Linked DNA regions of Canis lupus familiaris. The main gene of each other region encodes a partner of the protein of the gene in region 3 in a complex. Links are inferred from orthologs where the notes say so. Each region holds a gene or a part of one and is shown on either strand. Other genes may lie near its edges.

Region 1 (3,750 bases), on a different chromosome or scaffold from region 3:
ACAGAGGACATGCAGATTTAGCAGTATTGATATTATACTCTATCTGGTTGGAATTAAAGACACCCTGTACCCACATGTACACCAACAGCAGGTCACACATTAACAGTTGTAACTAAGCACTGTGACAAATTAGCCAGTTCTTCCCACATTAGTCCCTATTAAAACAAAAAAGGGGGGAAGGGAGCAAAATAATTGTTACAAAATGGGCAATGTAATTTTGCCACAATTGCCAAGGTTTAAAGAGCAAAGCAATTGTAGCTAAAGATAACTGCACAAGATGTTTGCAAGTGTTTTAAGGTAGATGTATATATATATATATATATATAATCACTTTTATCCCTTGCCTTTTAGTATAAGGTCAATACTGCCAATTTCATCTGTGACAATAGCACTTGGAGTCATACCATTGCCTCCATTATTGATCTGATCCTCCTCAATCCTCCTTTTGACAATCCTAAAATGATTGAAATGTGCTCCACAATCCTTAATCCAAAGCATTCTTAATCCATCTCTTCAGATATGTCTACAGAAAGACACATGAAAAGCAAGATAAACATAAGAACTTCCCCAGGTAAGATAACCACAAACACCCCCAACATCCCAGTTCACACAAACCAGAGCAGAATAGACATTTACACAATATCACAGTCTGAAGAGCATGGAGAATTAACTAAATTTCAACAATCCTGTCTATGACATCACTTAAAATACAATTTATCAGACATGAGGGGAATGTAGATGTTAGGAGCAAGGGGATATTACACAAGAATGCAATTCAACACTTTAGCCCATTCTGAACAAAACAGTTTGAATTAAAAAATGAAAAGATTGTACTGAGTAAAGGAAAACTGTATACAACATGGGTTCTACAAAAAGTGTCACCAATCATCTTATGTACGAGAGCGAGATCTGCTATGACGGGGAGAATAGCGTGGTGATCCTCTGCTTCTCCTTGGGGAGTAACTGCGACTCCTGCTGTTGCTTCTGCTACGGCTTCTGCTACGACTACGGCTTCGAGATCGAGATCTTCCATAACTTGGACTTCTGGGCCCATCAACTTTAACCCGGATGTAGGCAGTTTCTCCCTATTGAATAGACAGAACTTTCGATTGAAAGATCTAAGCTTTCACCTGTCTTCAGGCATGCTGAACGAATACAATGTAACTAAAACCAGAAATCTGGTATTTTACTTGGACACCCTTGCCTGAATCTTACCTTCAAATTCCACTGTTAAGACCACTGTATCCAATTCTGGCCAAAGAAAAGAGTAAGTGTAAAACCTACCTCATGAGATCTAAACTTAGTGTTATCCAGTTTTCGAACTGCATAGGTCATATCTTCTTTCCGTACAAACTCCACGACACCAGTGCCATCTCGGTAAACATCAGCATAACATACATCACCTGCTTCACGCATGTGATCCTTCAAATCCTGCCAGCTTCCACTTGGAGGCAGTCCTAAAAAAGTATTTTTTCAATACCAATCACCCTAAATTTCACACTACACTTAAAATCTATACTAGAACGAAAACCACTTTAAAATTAATCAGATTCAAGATCGTAGGTAAGAGAGCCATTAATTAAGATTCTGGAATCCAAAGTCCCAAATTCTCTGTAAAGTAAGGATCTTCATCGTCCAGGCATCCGACCTAATGGTAGGTAACTAGCACACTGGTACACCTCCACTACGGTTATCCTTTACTAAACTCACCCGAGAAACTAAATTTAAGACCTACCACAAAAACAGGCATTTGTCAAAACCACTCACGCAAGGGAACACTTAAAAGTGGCTCCTGTCCCTCCTCAACAACCCTCACCAACAGAAAACTCACCGGAGACAACCACTCTGTTTTCAGAACGCCTGGATGGGGGCCCATAGCGGCCTCGGGGAGCCCCGCCACCTCCACCCCCGCCGCCGCCTCGGCCTGTACCACGGCCGCTTCGAGGAAACTCCACCCGCAGACGGTATCCATCGTAATCATAGCCGTCGCGACCGTACACCGCGTCTTCCGCGTCTCTGCGTGATCAGAGAAAGCAAGAGGTGTAAGAGTAAGGCCCGGGAGGGGCAGCTAACTCAGTCGGGAACTAGCGGCCCCCGCACATGCGCACCCAGCGAGGAAGAGCCCACATGCGCTGCATAATAGGAATGGCCCCTCCCCCACCCAGAAGCACGCCAGGCTCCCGACCACTACACCAGCCCTCGGCGCCTCAGTTTCCCGCTCCGAGACGGAGAGTCCACTCTGGGGACGTCCGTGGGCCCAGCCACCAGAGAAACCACATCGACTCGGCTCTTACTCGACTCCTGCATGGGCGACACAGTCTTACCCCCAACCTAAAAGCCCACCTCCCCATTCTCGGTAACAAGGCCTTTCCCCAACTACTCCAACTTATTGCCTCCAGGCGGCGAGGCCCAGGCCGCCTCACCGAGGGTCCTCGAACTCAACGAAGGCGAAGGGCGGTCCTCCGCGGCGATTCTTGAGATCGATGTCGCGGATAGCTCCGTATTTGTAGAACACGTCCTCAATGTCCTTGGTTCGGATGTCTGGAGGTAAGTTACCCACATAGATGCGGCAGTCGTTGTTCCCTGCCGGGCCACGAATCACACCACCTCCCGACATGGCGGCGACGAAAAGCGCGGACTCGAGAACAGGCCTTCCCACCAAGCCTAGCGCACGGCAGAGCGAGCCCGCAGCGACACCACGTCTCCCGCGGCCCCTCCAAAATGGCGCCTTTATCAGCTCGGCGCACGGATATGGGGGGAGGGAGGAAGAGAAGCGGGAGGAAGCTGCTATTCGGCCTCAGTACGCACGCGCAAGAGCGTAACGGGTGCTGCGAGCGGTACGCTCACGCATGCGCGACGTCACCCTCCGCGCGAAGGGAGAAAAAAGTTCCTCGCGTTCTGGATTTGTGGAGTGGCTCGCAAATGACGTGACCGGCCCTTTGGTAAAAATTAAACAGAGATCCCTCGTCCACGGAGCTACTAATCCCTGACGAATCTTAAAGGATAGTCCGTTTTCTCAGGAATGAGTCTCTTTTAAAACAAGTCCGCGCCTTAAAAGCATTGGGTGAAACCTAGCCTGGAGCCTTGTCCCACGATGCTCTGCGGCGTTAACGGCCTTTGGCGGGAAAGACTGCTGGGGGCGGAGCTAAGGGGGGAGGGACCTGGCGGTTGCTCCGGAAACGGGAACATCCTCGTAGAGGGAGGCTGGTCCCGGAGCTCCGCTGTTGGTGCTTCAGTCCCGAGCTGAGTAGTGATTTTGTTTTCCTGCCCCCTCTGGTCTCAGGCGGTGGGCTGCTCAGACAAGTGTCTCATTTAGGGCAACCCAGCTTAGACCCGGTTCCACCGCCGGCTCAGAACTTGACTTTGTATAGCTCAGCTCAACACGCCTTGACCTAGTGGCGGTGGCCGAGCCCTGACCAGTCAACTAGGACTGAGACCTCAGCTTCTCTTTAATCGCCCATCACTGGGCCTAGCGCAGAGGTGAGGTCCATTGAAAGGTTGAAGAGTGAATTGTGCCTGTTACGTATCCAACTCTTTCAAAAAAAAAAAAACAAGAAAAAGCGCGCGTGTGTTGGCAGAATCCTGGAGTTTGTTCCTCTTTCTGACCTCATTCCCGAGCCTCTCAGGTAATATTTAAACGAGCTGGGGGGATGTGTTAGAACTGTGACCCCTGGAGACCACAGTTGCTGCTCAGAACTGATCCCACTTGCATGGCGGCCCAGGGAAATAAGAACCTGTTAACATTTTTTT
Region 2 (3,650 bases), on a different chromosome or scaffold from region 3:
CGAGACCCTTCTAAACAGTATGGCCTAAAAATGAAAACTTCACGTGCCTTCTTCAGTGAGGTGGAGAGGCGTTTTGATGCCATGCCATTTACTTTAAGGTACTATGACTGCACTTAACAAGAACAGGACTCAGAACCAGCCTGACTCATAGACCACACACCCAGGAACACTGTTACCTCTCCCAGTGCACCCCCTCCCACCCTGCCCCTGCCTAGACTTGTAGCTCCAGCCTGCATGCATGCCTTCTCTCCCTCTCCCCATTGCCCTCTCATCGAAGATAATGTGCAAGAGCAATCCTAAGCATGATTTCTGCCTGAGGGTAGGAGCTATTTAAAAACAGGAAAATGGTAAGACTTGATAGGGGGTTAAGGATACCTGAATCTGTCTTCCCTCACCCAGAGCATTTGAGGATGAGAAGAAGGCCCGGATGGGTGTGGTGGAGTGCGCCAAACATGAACTGCTACAGCCATTTAATGTTCTCTATGAGAAGGAGGGTGAGTTCTAAGAAGAGAGTTTCACTTTGGAGCCCCTAATTAGGGTCCCCACCATCTAGCTTCAGAAAAGATTATGACAGGGGGTCATTTTATCAAAACCTTTCCTTTCTCCTATAGGTGAATTTGTAGCCCAGTTTAAATTTACAGTCCTGCTCATGCCCAATGGCCCCATGCGGATAACCAGTGGTCCCTTTGAGCCTGACCTCTACAAGTCTGAGATGGAAGTCCAGGATGCAGAGCTAAAGGTCAGTGTGTGAGCACAAAGGAGACAAAGGAGAGTGGCGAGCACATGGCACCTGTCCTGGGAGTGAGGATGAGATGTCAACAAAGGCCTGAAAAGAGTTAAGATACTGAGAGTGACATTTCATGTTTCCTCTACATTGCTCAAAATTTGTTTTCTTTCTTCCTCCTCTTTTCCAGGCCCTCCTCCAGAGTTCTGCAAGTCGGAAAACCCAGAAAAAGAAAAAAAAGAAGGTGTGTTATGATCTTCCCTCTCTGGCAGGGTGAACCTGATCTGTCTTTAGTCTACCTTCCTGGGTTGTGGTGGACGTACATATTTCTGTAGATCCTTACTGCCCTGCTTGGCCCTGACCTAAAGCATTAGGATGTTTTTGCCCTTGGTCTCCCAGATACTATTGCAAGTAGTTGGAAACTGGTAAGTCTTCCTGTTCTTTCCATGAATATAGGCCTCCAAGACTGCAGAGAATGCCACCAGTGGGGAAACATTAGAAGAGAATGAAGCTGGGGACTGAGGTGGGTCCCATCTCCCCAGCTTGCCGCTCCTGCCTCATCCCCTTCCCACCACACCCCAGGCTCTGTGAAGTGCAGTTCGTCTTCTCCACCCAGGACCGCCAGCAGAGCAGGGTCTCCCTGCCCCCATCCCTGTCCCCATCCCAACCCCTTCCAACAACAACCAGCTCCAACTGACTCTGGTCTTGGGAGGCCAGGCTTCCCAGCCACCGAAGACTACTTTAAATAGAAAAGAGAAATTGATAATAAAATCAGGAGTCAAAATTCATCGTCTTCAAGCCCCTCTTTCTAGCCTTTTTCTACTACTCTCTGCTTGGTCAAGGTTTATGGCCCTACAACATAACAGGGAGAAGGCTAAAGTAGCCACCACCACTAAAAACTCAGCTGAAATTTTTTTATACCACTCTGGTGTCAGCATTTTCCCATCTGTTGGGGCTTGTTCCTCTCTTTTCTCACTCCCCAGGTATTTTATCAGGCCTCAAAATATAGAGAAGAGCTATATTCTTCAGATTGTTTTTATTCACATGTAGCAGATTCCTTTTCTGATCCACACTGTCTGGTTAGGCCCCTCTCATTTTTAGGAGCTGGGGCCTGAATTTACCAAGGGATTCTCATCTGTCAAATGGATCCTCATTTGTAAATCTCTTTAGTTTTAGTCATTTCTGTTCCACAGGACTTTTTTTTTGTCTTCACAAAGCTGTGAAGAAGTAATCCATCTCAACCTTGTCCATTTCTTTGGAGTCAATTGGAGGGGGGGGGTCAATGCATTCCCCTGCTCCATCTTAGAAACCTGAGCTGGAAGCTCAACTGGTTTTTGTTCCCTGTTTGAAATATTTTGACCTCCCTCCCTGAAAGACCAGGAACCAAAGGAGCAGACTGACTGAAAATACAACTTTTGGCTTTTTGAAGCTGTGGACTTGGATTGGATGAATTGCTAGGGGTTTGGAGAGAAAGGTGATGAATTTCAGTACCTCTGGCATGCTGTCCCAGGAACTAGGGCTCCCGCTAACTTATGAGGTTTTTAAACATGTTGAAAATGACATGGCGTTAAAATAAATTTGGATTTGCTCATAATCCTGGTGCCTTCATATGGTGCTCTTATTTGATGGAGGTGGGGGAAATGTCAGTTGAAGTGATAGTCATTTGGAACTAGTTTTCTATGTTGCCACATTCTGTCTTTCTAAACCAAGAAGTACTGTGGATTGGGGAAGACCTAAAGCCTGGGTTCTCTGAATTAAGACAGTAAATTTTTAATGAAAGTTTTTAAATTTTTCTGGAGTAAAATCTTACCCCTTGTTGGTGACAATTTGTTTAGGACAAGGTGTACTGTAAGAAAGAAAGCCTGTATATAAGTATATTGGGGCACCTAGGTGGCTCAGTTAAGTGTCGGCCTTTGGCTCAAGTCGTGATGTCAGGGTGCTGGTATCGAGCCCCATATGAGGCTCTTTGCTCAGTGGGGAGTCTTTAAAAAAGTATTTTGATTTCAGAAACCAGGAAAAATGCCTTTGTCATTAGGCAACTTTTCAGGGCCAGTCTGAGATGGATGGATGATTTATTAGACTATCTTACTTACTTGTGAGGCTTTGCTGATACAGAGATAACTATAGTGAACAAAATAATGTAAGTCCCTTCATAAGAGCTTATAGACTACAGTTGACCCCTAAACACAAGGATTAGGGGCACCAACGTGCTGGCACAGTCATCCATATGTAACTTGACCCCCCAAAACTTAATAGCCTACTTTTGACCAGAAGCTAGAATAACCATTAACACATTTTACGTGTTATAGGCATTATATACTCTATTACAGTAAGATAAAGACAATCACAAGGAAGAGAAAATACATTTACGGTATTGTATATAGATTAAAATTCCACGTGTAAATGTACCCATGGCAGTTCAAACCTATGTTCATATGGCAACTGTAGTGGGCAATCAACAGGTGAAATGCTGGTGGACTTGATTTAATGTTGATGGAGGTTTTTTTTCAAAAATTGTTATATTCTTTTTTTTTTTTTTTTTAAATTGTTATATTCTGATGGTGACAATACTAGGTCTTCTTAAACGAGGGCCTGAAGTATTTTTTTTTAATTTTTTTTTAATTTTTATTTATTTATGATAGTCACAGAGAGAGAGAGAGAGGGAGAAGCAGGCTCCATGCACCGGGAGCCCGACGTGGGATTCGATCCCGGGTCTCCAGGATCGTGCCCCGGGCCAAAGGCAGGCGCCAAACCGCTGCGCCACCCAGGGATCCCCAAGGGCCTGAAGTATTAAAAGTTTTTTTCCAGTTAAAAAGATGAAGTGTTACTGTGTAAATTATAAAGGAAAACACGAAAAAAGGATGATCACAAAAAGCTGTACACTCTTACTATAAAAGTAAGGTGAAATCTGTATGGTAAAGGGCTC
Region 3 (3,750 bases):
TATGTATGATGGTACTAATGTGTGTTTATAAAAATTAAATTTAAATTTCAGTGGCAGGGGCACTGGGTGGCTCAGTGGGTTAAGTATCTGCTTTTGGCTCAGGTCATGACCTCAAGGTCCTGGGATCAAGCCCCATGTCCGGGACCCTCCTCAGTGTGGAGTCTTGCTTCTCCCTCTCCCTTTGCCTGCCATTCCACCCTGCTTGTTCTATCAAATAAATAAATAAAAATCTTAAAAAAATAAGTTTCAAGTGCAGAGGACTTGTATCAAAGAAATGGTTCATATGATGGAACATTTTTAAAAAATTAAGCTGTTGGGGCGCCTGGGTAGCTCAGTTAAATGTCTGCCTTCAGCTTAGGTCATGATCTCAGTGGCCCGGGATTGAGCCCTGCATCCAGCTCTCGGCTCAGCGGCAAATCTGCTTTTCCTTCTTTGATCTCTCTGCCTCTCTCTCTCTCAAATAAATAAAATTTTTAAAAGAAATCAAGCTGCACAAGATTTTTCATTTTTAAAAGGAAGATTTATTTAACAAGTTTCACTTAGTACAATACATCTAATGGAAATCACAATACAAGGAAAGGTTTAAATCAAAGTCTCAGAATCTCATACAAACAACATGACCAAACTCCTAAAGTATTGGTATTACATCTCAAAATTGTCCCAGATCTTTAAAAAAGTAAAAGTGTACACTCACGTGCCTTACAGGATATTAAACCAAAAAGCTAGAATTAACAAACATGCCAAATGTTTTCACTTTGAATCGTAGACACAGCTCCTATATTTGAGTTTTACAGAAAAGCATGTTTCTCAACATGCATCCAAAGTTTTCAAGGTATTGTGGTATAAGAGCAACATTTAACATAAGTGAAACTGCTTTAACCTAAATAATGCTTACTGCTTAGGTATACTCCTACAATGTAACTAACTTGAGGAAAGCTGAAAATTGTTTTAACAGTTATGGTCAATACTGAACGTTGTTATTACACCCTAGATGAATGTTTCAGTGTTCAAAATTACTGAGCTTAAAGTTGTAAAACCTTGACTTCCACTTTACAGTAAGCATGAATCACAAGCCTGTAATGCAAAACTGTTAAACTTAACTTTTGTTTTCTTAAAAAAAAAAAGGAAAGAATGAAAGAACGAAAGAACGAAAGAACGAAAGAAAGAAAGAAAGAAAGAAAGAAAGAGGAAGCTGACCAAGAGTGATCAGAATCAGTATTTCCCATTTACCAATCATACTGGATATACTAGACATCCCTCCCATTCTACAACTCCCATAAATGCAGAGATTTTATTTTTGTAATAGCTGTTTAGTATTGTTTACTTAAGCGAGGTTTGACTGATAGTCACTGGAGTTTTCCTGCAGCACTTGGTCATATCCACTCATACTGCTCTGACCACCGTACCCACCTCCATAACCCCCGCTTAGCTGCTGGCTGGCAGGGCCCCCATAACTAGATTGGTTGGATAAGCCCATTCCTCCCATCATTTGACTACCATATGCACCACCACTTGCCCCTGCTGTAGAATTCAAAAAGAGTTCTACATAGCTGTGATCATAAGCACCCCCACTTGTTCCTGCAGTAGAATTCAAGAAGAGCTCCACGTATCTGTGTTGCATATTAGCTTTGTCTTTTGCCATAGCTGCCACAGCATCTTCATGGGTAGCAAATTCAACATCTGCCTCACCAGTAACTCGGCCATCGGGTCCAATTTCAATGTGCACTCTCATGGGGTTAAGAGGTGAGAAAAAATTGTAAATATCATTCTCAGTGGCTCTGTAAGGTAATCCCCTCATGTGTACACAGTGCCCTGTGGTGCTCTGGAAACTGGACCCACCATCTCCATATCTATGGTCAGACATCCCTGAAAAACAGTAATTGAGGTCTCTTCCAAATCTATCAGACCCAAAGCCATAGCCATCATTATAGCCACCATAGTCATCATAGCCTCCATACCCTCCACCATAGGCACCACGCCTCATCCTTTCAAACCCAGTCCCTCTGCCAATACTATTATACCCTCTGCCAGCCCCTGGCCTATCATAAGGACCTGGCCGCTGCATAGCCATGAGCTTTCGCGGGGGGTCGTAGTGGGTTCGGACTTCAGCTCGGCTACTCTTGAAGATTTCAATGTACCTATGCCCTATTCTTTCCTTGTGTTTCTTTAAGGCCTTTTCAGCTATCTCCTGCGAAGCAAACTGCACAAAGGCCTCCCCCGTGCTCCGCCCCTGAAAGTCCACCGGCAGTGTCATCCCATTTGGCACAATTTCCAACCCTGAAAAGAACTGAACAATCTCTTCCTTGCTACAGCCAAATGGGAGTCCTCTAAGCCGGACGAAGCCATCGTTGGCAGTATCAGGACTATTCGGACCTGTATGCTTCAACACCCAATCCATTTCAACACTGTTGGACTTGAACACTTCAACGTATCTGTGTCCCATGGTTTCTCTGTCCTTCTTCAATGCCAATTTCACTTCATCTTCGGATTCAAGTTCGACAAACGCTTCACCACTTGGTCTGCCTTCTCTGGTATAGATGAAACGAATACCTGATGTGCCGTTTTGGATCTTGCAATCAGAGAAGAAGCGCATCACTTCATCAGCTGAGCAGGACCAGGGTAGGCCCCTGACCTTCACCACGAACCCCTCCCTGCCTTCCGTGCTCAGCATCATGATGATTGTTGGGCTCTTGGTGGCAAGCTTGGCTCAATGCAGTTTCAGTGTAGCTAAAAAAAAAATTAGAAGACTATTGTCATGGAAAAATGTTCACAACATAGTAAGAGAAAAAAGCAAACCAATAATATAAAACTCAAACGGATAGCTTTGTTCTAAAATATTCATATAAATAAAAAGACTGCACCAAATTTTTAATTCATTCATCCAAAGATTATTTACTCAATACCTATTATGTGTTGAATACCGTTAATAGTGGTTATTTCTGGGCAGTAGGCTTATGGGAACTTTTTTATTAAAGGAGTATTTTCTTTGGACATTTCTATGTTTTAGGTTTTCTATATTGAACATATATTAACATCATAGAACACAAAAGGCATAAAAAATCAGCAGCAAAATCACTGGAAGCTGTGAACAAATACGAGATAGCTATACCTGATTACATAAAAATGAAAAACTTCATTACATCAAAGGTAAGATTAAACAGAATTAAAAGACAATACACTTGAGAAGACACAACAGTACATTAATATCCTTATATAATGAACTCATGCCAATTAATAAAATCAAGGAAATATTAAGGCCTAAGCAATAAATGGGAAAAAGACATTAAGGGTGATCATACATTCATTTTATATTTTTCAACTGGCAAGTCCAGTACTTGGCTTTGGGATACAAGGATCAATAAACCAAGAAAGGGTTTATAGTCCTACAGGGGCATTATACATCTTTACTAAAGGCAAAAGGGCAAATAAACATTATTCCTGCTATGACAAAATTCTGTATAGCGTGAAAAGGTGGTATAAAACAGGGACTAGTTGGTCAATTCTAACAGTTGGCACAGAATTGTTTAAACAGACTCACCAGTTCAAGGATCCACAAATAAATTTTTAAAAATTACAATGGAGCATAAAATAGGATGAGCCCAGGCAAGAAGTTAAGGCTGGCAAGGTAGAGAGTAAGATCCCAAAGGCCTTACTTGATAGACAAACGTTAAGAGTCTTCTAAGGGTTTTAAAACAGAGGAGTGGGGTAGGGGAGTGAGGGTAAGGGAATGGGTAAGGGAGTGGGTAAGGG

The links.
Region 1: HNRNPH2 (region 3) and SRSF1 share a complex: the UniProt entries of both Homo sapiens proteins name them as parts of the ribonucleoprotein complex. The link is inferred for Canis lupus familiaris from reciprocal best matches to the Homo sapiens genes HNRNPH2 and SRSF1.
Region 2: HNRNPH2 (region 3) and PA2G4 share a complex: the UniProt entries of both Homo sapiens proteins name them as parts of the ribonucleoprotein complex. The link is inferred for Canis lupus familiaris from reciprocal best matches to the Homo sapiens genes HNRNPH2 and PA2G4.

The regions. Positions count from the first base shown.
Region 1 is NC_049230.1:32,652,961-32,656,710, forward strand, and holds the start of SRSF1 (serine/arginine-rich splicing factor 1), read right to left. Parts: upstream 2,766-3,750; 5' UTR 2,618-2,765; coding exon 2,424-2,617; exon of another isoform or gene 2,017-2,423; coding exon 1,832-2,016; intron 1,458-1,831; coding exon 1,285-1,457; intron 1,086-1,284; coding exon 891-1,085; 3' UTR 1-890. UniProt on the Homo sapiens protein: Plays a role in preventing exon skipping, ensuring the accuracy of splicing and regulating alternative splicing.
Region 2 is NC_049231.1:783,941-787,590, forward strand, and holds part of PA2G4 (proliferation-associated protein 2G4), read left to right. Parts: coding exon 1-98; intron 99-399; coding exon 400-494; intron 495-611; coding exon 612-739; intron 740-914; coding exon 915-968; intron 969-1,180; coding exon of another isoform or gene 1,181-1,246; exon of another isoform or gene 1,247-1,512; intron 1,513-3,650. UniProt on the Homo sapiens protein: May play a role in a ERBB3-regulated signal transduction pathway. Seems be involved in growth regulation. Acts a corepressor of the androgen receptor (AR) and is regulated by the ERBB3 ligand neuregulin-1/heregulin (HRG).
Region 3 is NC_049260.1:75,730,580-75,734,329, reverse strand, and holds the end of HNRNPH2 (heterogeneous nuclear ribonucleoprotein H2), read right to left. Parts: exon of another isoform or gene 3,539-3,750; intron 2,728-3,538; 5' UTR 2,675-2,727; coding exon 1,325-2,674; 3' UTR 499-1,324; downstream 1-498. UniProt on the Homo sapiens protein: This protein is a component of the heterogeneous nuclear ribonucleoprotein (hnRNP) complexes which provide the substrate for the processing events that pre-mRNAs undergo before becoming functional, translatable mRNAs in the cytoplasm. Binds poly(RG).